Caenorhabditis elegans: one gene and its partner. The protein of the gene in region 2 purifies or fractionates together with the protein of the main gene of each other region. This does not show direct contact. Each region holds a gene or a part of one and is shown on either strand. Other genes may lie near its edges.

Region 1 (4,229 bases), on a different chromosome or scaffold from region 2:
CATTTTTCCGGAAAAAAAACGGTGGAATTCTCAGATTTTTCAGTAAAATTACAGGAATTTCTACTTTTTTTCAATTTTTCTCAGAAAAAAAAAACAAAAAAATAAATTTTTCCGGAAAAAACGTTGAAATTTCTAACTTTTCCTGAATTTTTCAGAGAAAATGAAATAAATGCTCAATTTTTCGAATTTTTAAATAAAAAATGCCGAAATTCTTAATTTTTCCAATAAAAATGACTAAATTTTCAACTTTTTCCGAATTTTTTAAATAAAAAATGCCGAAATTGTTAATTTTCCGTGTTTTAAGTGAAAATTTTGCTGTTTTTAGCCTATTTTCCATAAAAAATTCCAATTTTTCTACCTCCAAACGCATTGCGGCCAACTTTTCCGGTGTATACGTCCATTCCCGTTTTTGTGTGCTCGTCGCGTACATTTCTGAATTTTTGCCATTTTTTTGGCTGAAATTTTCGGTAAAAAAAAAGGTAATTCTGGGTGAAAACCAGTGAAAATTAGTGAAAAATGGGCAAAAAATCGACAAAATAACAAAAAAACGAGTCTATAACAAGAAAATTCCAACAAAAACCAGAAAAAAAATGTGAAAATTCAAAAAATTAACAAAAAAAAATTATTTCTTCTTATTCTTCATTTTTGATTCTCTCTGTTGCTTGTGAGATTTGCGATTTCCGAATTTTTGGAATGCTCCACGTCGTTTAGATTGCTCTTTTTGGCGAATTTCAGCGTATCTGGAAGGAAAATATGGAAAAATTGGAGCTTTTTGATATAAAAATCGATTTTTTCGGAGGAAAAATGTGATTTTTGAGCTATTTTCACACAATTTAACCGTTTGTTTTGCTCAAAATCCGAAAAAATTGAGTTTTTTTTTATTGAAAAATCGATTTTTGGGGGGAAAACCTGTGCTTTTTTCAGAGATTTTAGCGGATTTTTCAGGAAAAAATACTGAAATTCTCAAAATTTTCGATTATTTTCCGGAAAAAAACGTTGAAATTATCGTTTTTTTGGTCAAAAATCGTGTTTTCAGTTAAAAGTTTGCGGTTTTTCGCCATTTTTGGACAAAATTCGGCGAAATTTTCTGAAAATTCGGCTTTTTTTTGCTCCTAAAATCAAATTTTTCGGTAAAAATCTTGGAAAATGTTTTTTTTATTAAAAAAAAACCATATTGTAACGAAAATTCACCATTTTCCATCAATTTTAGCCAATTTTGAGCTCCAAAATCATAATTTTACGTTAAAAAACGTAAAAAACTGTCCATTTCCGGGTTTTTTCGACGAAATTTCGTCGTTTCAAGTGAAAATCGATCAATTTTCAGCATTTTTTTGGGGTTTTCGAGTCCAAAATCATAATTTTACGTTAAAAAAACGCAAAAACTGCAGATTTACAGGATTTTCGGCAAAAATTCGGCGTTTTGAGTGAAAATCGGTCAATTTCTACCGTTTTTAGCGAGTTTTTGCATTAAAAATATCAATTTCCAGGATTTTTGGCAAAATTTCGCCGTTTTGGGTGAAAATCGGCCAATTTTTATCCTTTTTAGCTCATTTTTGCTCTAAAAATCACGATTTTAACGTTAAAAACGCAAAAACTTGAATTTTTTCACAAAAATTCTTGATTTTCCCGTACTTTTTCTTGGCTTTGCTCAACGATTCCTCATTATGCAAAATCTCGTCGACCATCGTCTTTTTTCGCTCTTTTCGCACCATTCTACTCGAATAAAAGTCTTCTGGAGCGTCAACGACTCGTCCAACCTGAAAAATCTCGGATTTTTTGGGAATTTTTTAAATTTTCTCGAACTTGGAAGTATTTCGGCAGTACAGCCCGGTCATTTCGACGATAATGAGCCAATGGATCGAGAGTTGATCTCATTTGAAGGAATTCCAAATCTCGTTTGTGCTCATCGGTGAGCTCCGTCGCTGGAAGGTTGAACCAAGCGGATCCTTTGGTTTTTTCGCGTTCTGACTGGAAAAATAGCGATTTTTATTGGATTTTGAGCGATTTTAATCGAATTTTCATCGATTTCAACGCACTTTCTTCAGCCTGGCGGCCGCATTCCGGCCTAAAAGCCTATTTTGAGGCTGATGATCGCCTTCAAACTTCGGCCCGACAACTGACTTTTCCAGAAGCTCCTGCAAGTCCTTATCCATCTCATATGGCTCCAAATAGGATGTTCCGAGCAGGTCAACTGCCTCAAAAGCTCCTTCTTTTGGCGCTTCTTCACGTACGGCTCTGTCAACGACGAAATCATCGAATTCCTCGGCGACAGGCTTCTGAAAATCGATTTTTTTGGTGCTTTTCTGGGAAATTTTCGGTTTTTTTCGCTAAAAATTTGCAAAAATCGCCGTTTTTTGTGATTACTTGTTGCTTTTGCTTCTTTTTTGGAATTTCCTCGTCGGAATCCGAATCTTCGCTGCTTGAAACGTCGGGATTCTGCTGTTTTCGTAGCTTTTTGAAGTAGAGCGCAGACATTTTGAGCTGAAAATCATTCAATTTCAATTTTTATTCGAAAAAACTGGCGAAAAAGAGCGAAAACCGACGAAAACCCGGTGAAAACCTTCGAAATAAATAAATTAAATTAACCATATTCGCAATGGAGCGCGGATGCAACTCGTGGCCTAGAAAACTCCAACTCGGCCCCGAAGAGGAAAAACTCCAAATTTTCAAGATTTTCTCGGGAAATTGATGGGTTTTCGGGTTTTTTTGAGGGAATTTCGAGCAGAATCGATGCTTTTTAAGCTCCAAGCTTCAGAAATTGCGAAAAATCGGCAAATTTCAGCCAAATTCCAGCTTCAATGACAAAAAACTTTATAGAAAAGCTTCTAATTATATCGTTCATTATCATCTTTGACGTCTTTAGGGAACACTTTTTTCCAGCATTTTCCGCCGAAAATCCGATAGACCACACACTCTGCGTCTCCACGGCGTTACGTTATCTCTCGCATGCGAACCAACTTTTTCACCGATTTACCGGTCGTTGGCGATTTTCGGCGGCTTTAAAATGCGCAACGCAGGCGGTGATAAGCCATTCTCCACACCCGTTTTGCTTCGCGAAATGGGCTTGAAGACGCACGTTGATGATGATCCGAAGACTAAGGTGAGCGGTCTATTTCGAGTAGGCCTAATAGGCTTTCTAGGCCGTATAGGCTTGCCTTGTAGGTCCTCTAGGCGCCTGCCTTGTGGGTCTTCTAGGCCTTCTAGGCGCCTGCCTTGTAGGCTTTCTTGGCGCCTACCTTGTAAGCTTTCTAGGCCATCTGGGCGCCTGCCTTGTAGGCTTTTTAGGCGCCTGTTTTGTAGGCCTTGTAGGCCTTCTAGGTGCCTGCCTTGTAGGCGCTCTAGGCCTTCTAGGTGCCTATCCTTTAGGCCTTCTAGGCGCCTACCCTTTAGGCCTTCTAGACGACTGCTTTGGAGGCTTTCTAGGCCATTTAGGCGCCTACCTTAGAGGCCTTCTAGGCGCCTGCCTTGTAGGCTTTCTAGGCCTTCTAAGCTTATAAAAACTAAAAATCCATATCATTTCCAGGCCTACCGCCTTATCGGCTACGCCGCCGTCACCTTCTCCACAGTCTCGGTGATCTGTTTCTGTGTCACAATGCCAGTTGTCTTCACCTACGTCCAATCGGTAAAACGTCAGATGTCCCATGAGATGGCCACGTGCAACGTCAATGCTCGTCAGATTTTCGATGACGTTGCTGCTCTGCGAGCCGGCTTCCCATTCGCACAGGCAGGCAACCGTACCGCCCGTCAAGCTGGATACGATGTGCATCCGAGCAAGCCAACGCCTGTCGGATATAGTGGTGGAGATGCGGCTGCGGCGGAGGTGAAGGGAAATAGCCCGGCGGCCGCCTACGAGGATAAGCCGTTTGTTGCTGTTGGAGTTGAAGGTGAGGTTTAAGCCGTGTAGGCCTTGTAGGCGTTGTAGGCGCCTGCCTTCTAGGCCCTGTAGGCTTTGTAGGCTGCTTCGTAGGCGCCTGCCTTGTAGGCGATCTAGGCCTTCTAGGCGCCTGCATTGTAGGCTTTCTATGTGCCTGCCTTGTAGGTTTTGTAGGTCCCTGTCTAGTAGGCCTAGCAGGCGCCTACTTTATAGGCATTGTAGACGCCTGGCTAGAAGGCCTTCTAGGCATCTGCCCTGTATGCGCCTGCCTTGTATGCCTTGCATGCTTTTTAGCCGCCTGCCTTGTAGGCTTTCTAGGCGCCTTCCTTGTAGGCATTGTAGGCTTTTTAGGCGC
Region 2 (3,884 bases):
AGAAGCAGATGGATGGTTTGAAGCTTTACATGCCTGTACCACGTGTCTTCTGACTCAGGCACTGGCTCAAGTCAATATAATGCTCGGTAACAACCCCCAAGTGAGACATATGGGTTGGATTGCAGAACAAGTATCAGAAAATGGAATTTCAATGTGGAAACCTAAATTTATGACGCTTACGAATAGTGAGATCTTGTTCTATGAAGCTGTTCCACAGCTGAAAGCAGAATGGGCAGAGCCAAGACTAGTACGTCCTCTGGTGGCAACAAGAGTCGTTCAGACAAGTTCTCGAACTGCGCCAGTAATTAAAGGTCTCACTGATGTGATCTCTTTCCGTATGAGAACTGGAACTCAACAAGGTGTTCGGACACATACGATCCGGGTAGAAACTCATGCAGAACTGGCACGATGGGTTCGTGCAGTAGTGATCGGTGGATATGAAGCATGTCTTTCTACATCTCAAGTCTCTGCTCCTTGTCTTTGGCGAGGCGAATCATGCGAACTAATAGTTAATCTAGACAATGGAATATCATTACTTTCGTCGACTGGAGAGGTGAGCTCATTGGAATAATTTAGCAATAAGAAAGTGATAAACGTTTTCTAGATTAAAACAAAGATTTATAACATTTAGAGAAGCTACATTTTCTTAAAGCTTACAATTCAGGTACTGTGGCAACATTCGTTTGAAACGATTCGCGCCACCGGCGATGATGGTGGTCGTTTTCTCTGGGTCGATTTTGGACCACCACATGGTGAACAGGTAAAAATGGATTTTATTTTAACCTTAATTTCATACTTATAGAAAAAAAACGGATTTTTTTTGTGTAAAGTTTTTGAATAAAAAAAAGGATAGGCAACAAAACAATAAAAGCAGATCAACAAGTAATATTCAAAACAAAAGAAGCATAAATGAATGAAAAATTTAGGAATTGGATTTGCTAAATTCCGCAAAGCCAGTCGTGTTCATTCTTCATTCATTTCTCGCCACCAAGGTGTATCGATTAGGATTGTACGCGTGAAGCATCAAAAGGTTAGTTCATTGGAGCTCCATATGCATCAGGCATTCGCTCAATGGAGAATCTGTGATTGACAATGTACATGATCGGAACTCCTGGGATCTTTCGGATGCGGCGCTTCAGATCACGATCACAAGTGGCCACAATATAGCATTTATGCTGAAAATTATATTATTTTTTTCATTTTCAGATTCGTTATTTGTTCAAGTTTGCCAAACAAAAAGACTGCAGCAATACCACATTCCGTCTCCTGCCTCTTCTCGTCATAATAGATTTTATTCGTTTAAGATTTGTTAGATTTTATTAAATGAAAAACAATGAAAAATTATGAATAAACGAACCTGTGTAACTCTTTGAACCAAACAATCATCAGCATATGTTCCTTTGTGCTCACACTTCAGTCTCTGCACACGTGGATCTTTCAGAACTTTCAGAGCAATTTTGAATCTTCTCACTTTTTCCAATTCAGCCAATACACAGTCAGTTGCGTACACAATAGCTGAATTATTGTGATAAAATACAAGAAAACGAAAGAAAGTGTATGACTCACTTTTCGCGAACAGACAATCCATGAATCCTTGAAACATGTCAATGCGATTTTTGACGGCGAAATTCACAAAATTGGTATCGACAATAACGTGAAATGGTGGACCCAGCTGTGTATTGTATTTCATAAACATAGCGGATGAGATTTTTGGACTGAAATTATGAATTATTATTGTCTGGACACATATTCGTACGAATAAAACTTACGCACGGACCAATTTGAGTTCTTGTTCATCTACTTTCGGTGTTCTAATGACTCTTTGTTCTTCTTTTCTGAAATATTGCGTTTTAAATCAAGGTTATTCGATAAAATTATCGTTATCCTTACATTCTGTTGTCTGTCTTTTTGACAAGCTTGTTTACAGCGCTTTTTCTGGCGTTGGACTTCAAGCGTTTACCCATTTTCTGTAAATTAGAACATATATTTGTAAATTAGCACATATATTATCGAAGAAATTTGGAAAAAACGAAGAAAATCTTTAAAATAAGAATCTCGAACAAAATATCGAGACCCGAAGAACTCGGGGGATGTCCAATTGGGGGGATTACCAACTCGGGGGATTGGCCCCGCCCACAGAACCGTGGCTTGCAATACGCCCATTTCTGCAACTGCCGCACGGTTTTGAAACTGTATTTTTCTTGTTAATTCTCGCTCTATTGAGAAAAATACAGTTTCGAAACCGTGCGGCAGTTGCAGAAATGGGCGTATTGCAAGCCACGGTTCTGTGGGCGGGGCCAATCCCCCGAGTTGGTAATCCCCCCAATTGGACATCCCCAGAGTTCTTCGGGTCTCAAAATATCAGAAAAAATTTTTGCGAAAAAGTCCGCAGAGTTGGTGCTCCGTGTATGCACCAGTCAATGCATTTAATCTGACGCACAAACCAGCATTTCAAGAAATTGCATTCAATGTGCATCGCATATTCAAATTTCTGTCAGCTATTTATGTTTTTATTTTATTGCCCCGTTTCTTTTCTCCGCGGACTATTGATTATTGACGATGTGGAATAATTCATACACGAACTTTTAAATCTTAACGCCAAGAAAAAGTGCAAGAATTCAGTTTAAAATTTGAATAAAAAGTAAAATAATATTTTCGCGTTGTCATGTTTTCAAAGTCTGCTTTTATTTTTATTCTTAACGAGAACACTTCCTTTAATAAAGGAATGTCTAAAAAGATTTTCAATTTCAGAAAATGACAAAGGAGACTGACAAAAAGCCAAAAGAACGTCCGAATCAAAGAAAAGTTGCATTTCGAAATGAAGCAATAAATGCATTAGTAAATACAGATGAGGACCAAGTCACATTTTCGAAAGCAATGGAAGTTGCCAAATTAGATTGTCAAAAGTGTCTTCTACACGATATGCATAGTTCAAAGTAAGCATTTTTATTAAACAAACTATAATTAATTTTGTTTTTATCGATTCAGGTCATCGAATTGTCGCGATAATCCATTTTGTATACATCGATTAGGACTCGAGAAGTTTGAAAAGTTGATAACTCAGGAGCAGGAAACTAAAGAAGAAGCGAAAAAAGATCAAAAGCGGAGAGATCTGAATGATCAACCAGCCGGGCTTATCAATGGAGGAAACTTTTGCTATGTGAATAGTTTTCTTCAAGTCTGGTTCAACGTTCCTGAGTTCCGGCAGTTGATCTATGATTTCCGACCATCGGAGAACTTTGTTCCGTTAGTTTTGTTGCCTCAGTTTTTCAAAAAAAATTTGTTTTATTTTTCAGGCCAGAAGCTCCAAGAATGAATGTTCAAGCAACTATGCTCGCGCTTCAAGACATTTTTTATACACTACAGACAACTCCTTTCGTAAGTTATTTGATATGAATGCTGTTAATTTTAGATTTTTCTTTCCAGAACGAGACCGACAAAACTTCGAATCTTGGGAAATTACTTCGATTGAATTCAGAACAACAAGATTCTCAGGAATTCGGATTAAAATTCTTCAATGCACTCGAACGATGTCTTCCAGATCATCCGAATGGAAAAGAAACTTTGAAAAGATTAAAAGATCTTTTCACTGGAGAGACTTGTACTCGAATTGTATGCAAATGTGGACAACGATCTGAACGGGAAGAAACAGCAATCTCATTGACTTTGAATATTGAAGGTTATTGCACACTTCTAGATGCTCTTGATGCTTACTTTGGAGAAGAACAGTGAGTTCGATCTTTTTCTATTCACTGCTAATATTTATTTTCAGTCTGGACGACTTCAAATGCTCAAAATGCAATAAAACTGGAGATGTTTCGAAGCAATCCGATTATGTTAAGCTACCTCCTGTCATTGTGATTCAGCTCAATCGATACAAATAC

What was found. Proteins that work in one complex are often made in the same cells at the same time.
Region 1: the proteins of F30A10.9 (region 2) and Y49F6B.2 fractionate together in Caenorhabditis elegans (co-fractionation; one large-scale study listed by BioGRID). This does not show direct contact.

What each region holds. Positions count from the first base shown.
Region 1 is NC_003280.10:3,501,220-3,505,448, reverse strand, and holds Y49F6B.2 (Fcf2 pre-rRNA processing C-terminal domain-containing protein), read right to left. Parts: upstream 2,482-4,229; 5' UTR 2,476-2,481; coding exon 2,365-2,475; intron 2,277-2,364; coding exon 2,037-2,276; intron 1,969-2,036; coding exon 1,804-1,968; intron 1,758-1,803; coding exon 1,633-1,757; intron 741-1,632; coding exon 623-740; 3' UTR 539-622; downstream 1-538. Other genes in the region: cyh-1 (Cyclin-H), read right to left, coding at 359-430; col-71 (Cuticle collagen 71), read left to right, coding at 3,005-3,100, 3,524-3,884.
Region 2 is NC_003279.8:9,503,802-9,507,685, forward strand, and holds F30A10.9 (PIN domain-containing protein), read right to left. Parts: upstream 1,968-3,884; 5' UTR 1,965-1,967; coding exon 1,891-1,964; intron 1,836-1,890; coding exon 1,770-1,835; intron 1,716-1,769; coding exon 1,567-1,715; intron 1,516-1,566; coding exon 1,358-1,515; exon of another isoform or gene 1,207-1,357; intron 1,176-1,206; coding exon 1,032-1,175; 3' UTR 1,020-1,031; coding exon of another isoform or gene 927-1,019; 3' UTR 761-926; coding exon of another isoform or gene 665-760; 3' UTR 602-664; downstream 1-601. Other genes in the region: stn-1 (Syntrophin-1), read left to right, coding at 1-553, 665-760, 927-1,019; Ubiquitin carboxyl-terminal hydrolase usp-48, read left to right, coding at 2,755-2,936, 2,989-3,246, 3,297-3,378, 3,427-3,728, 3,773-3,884.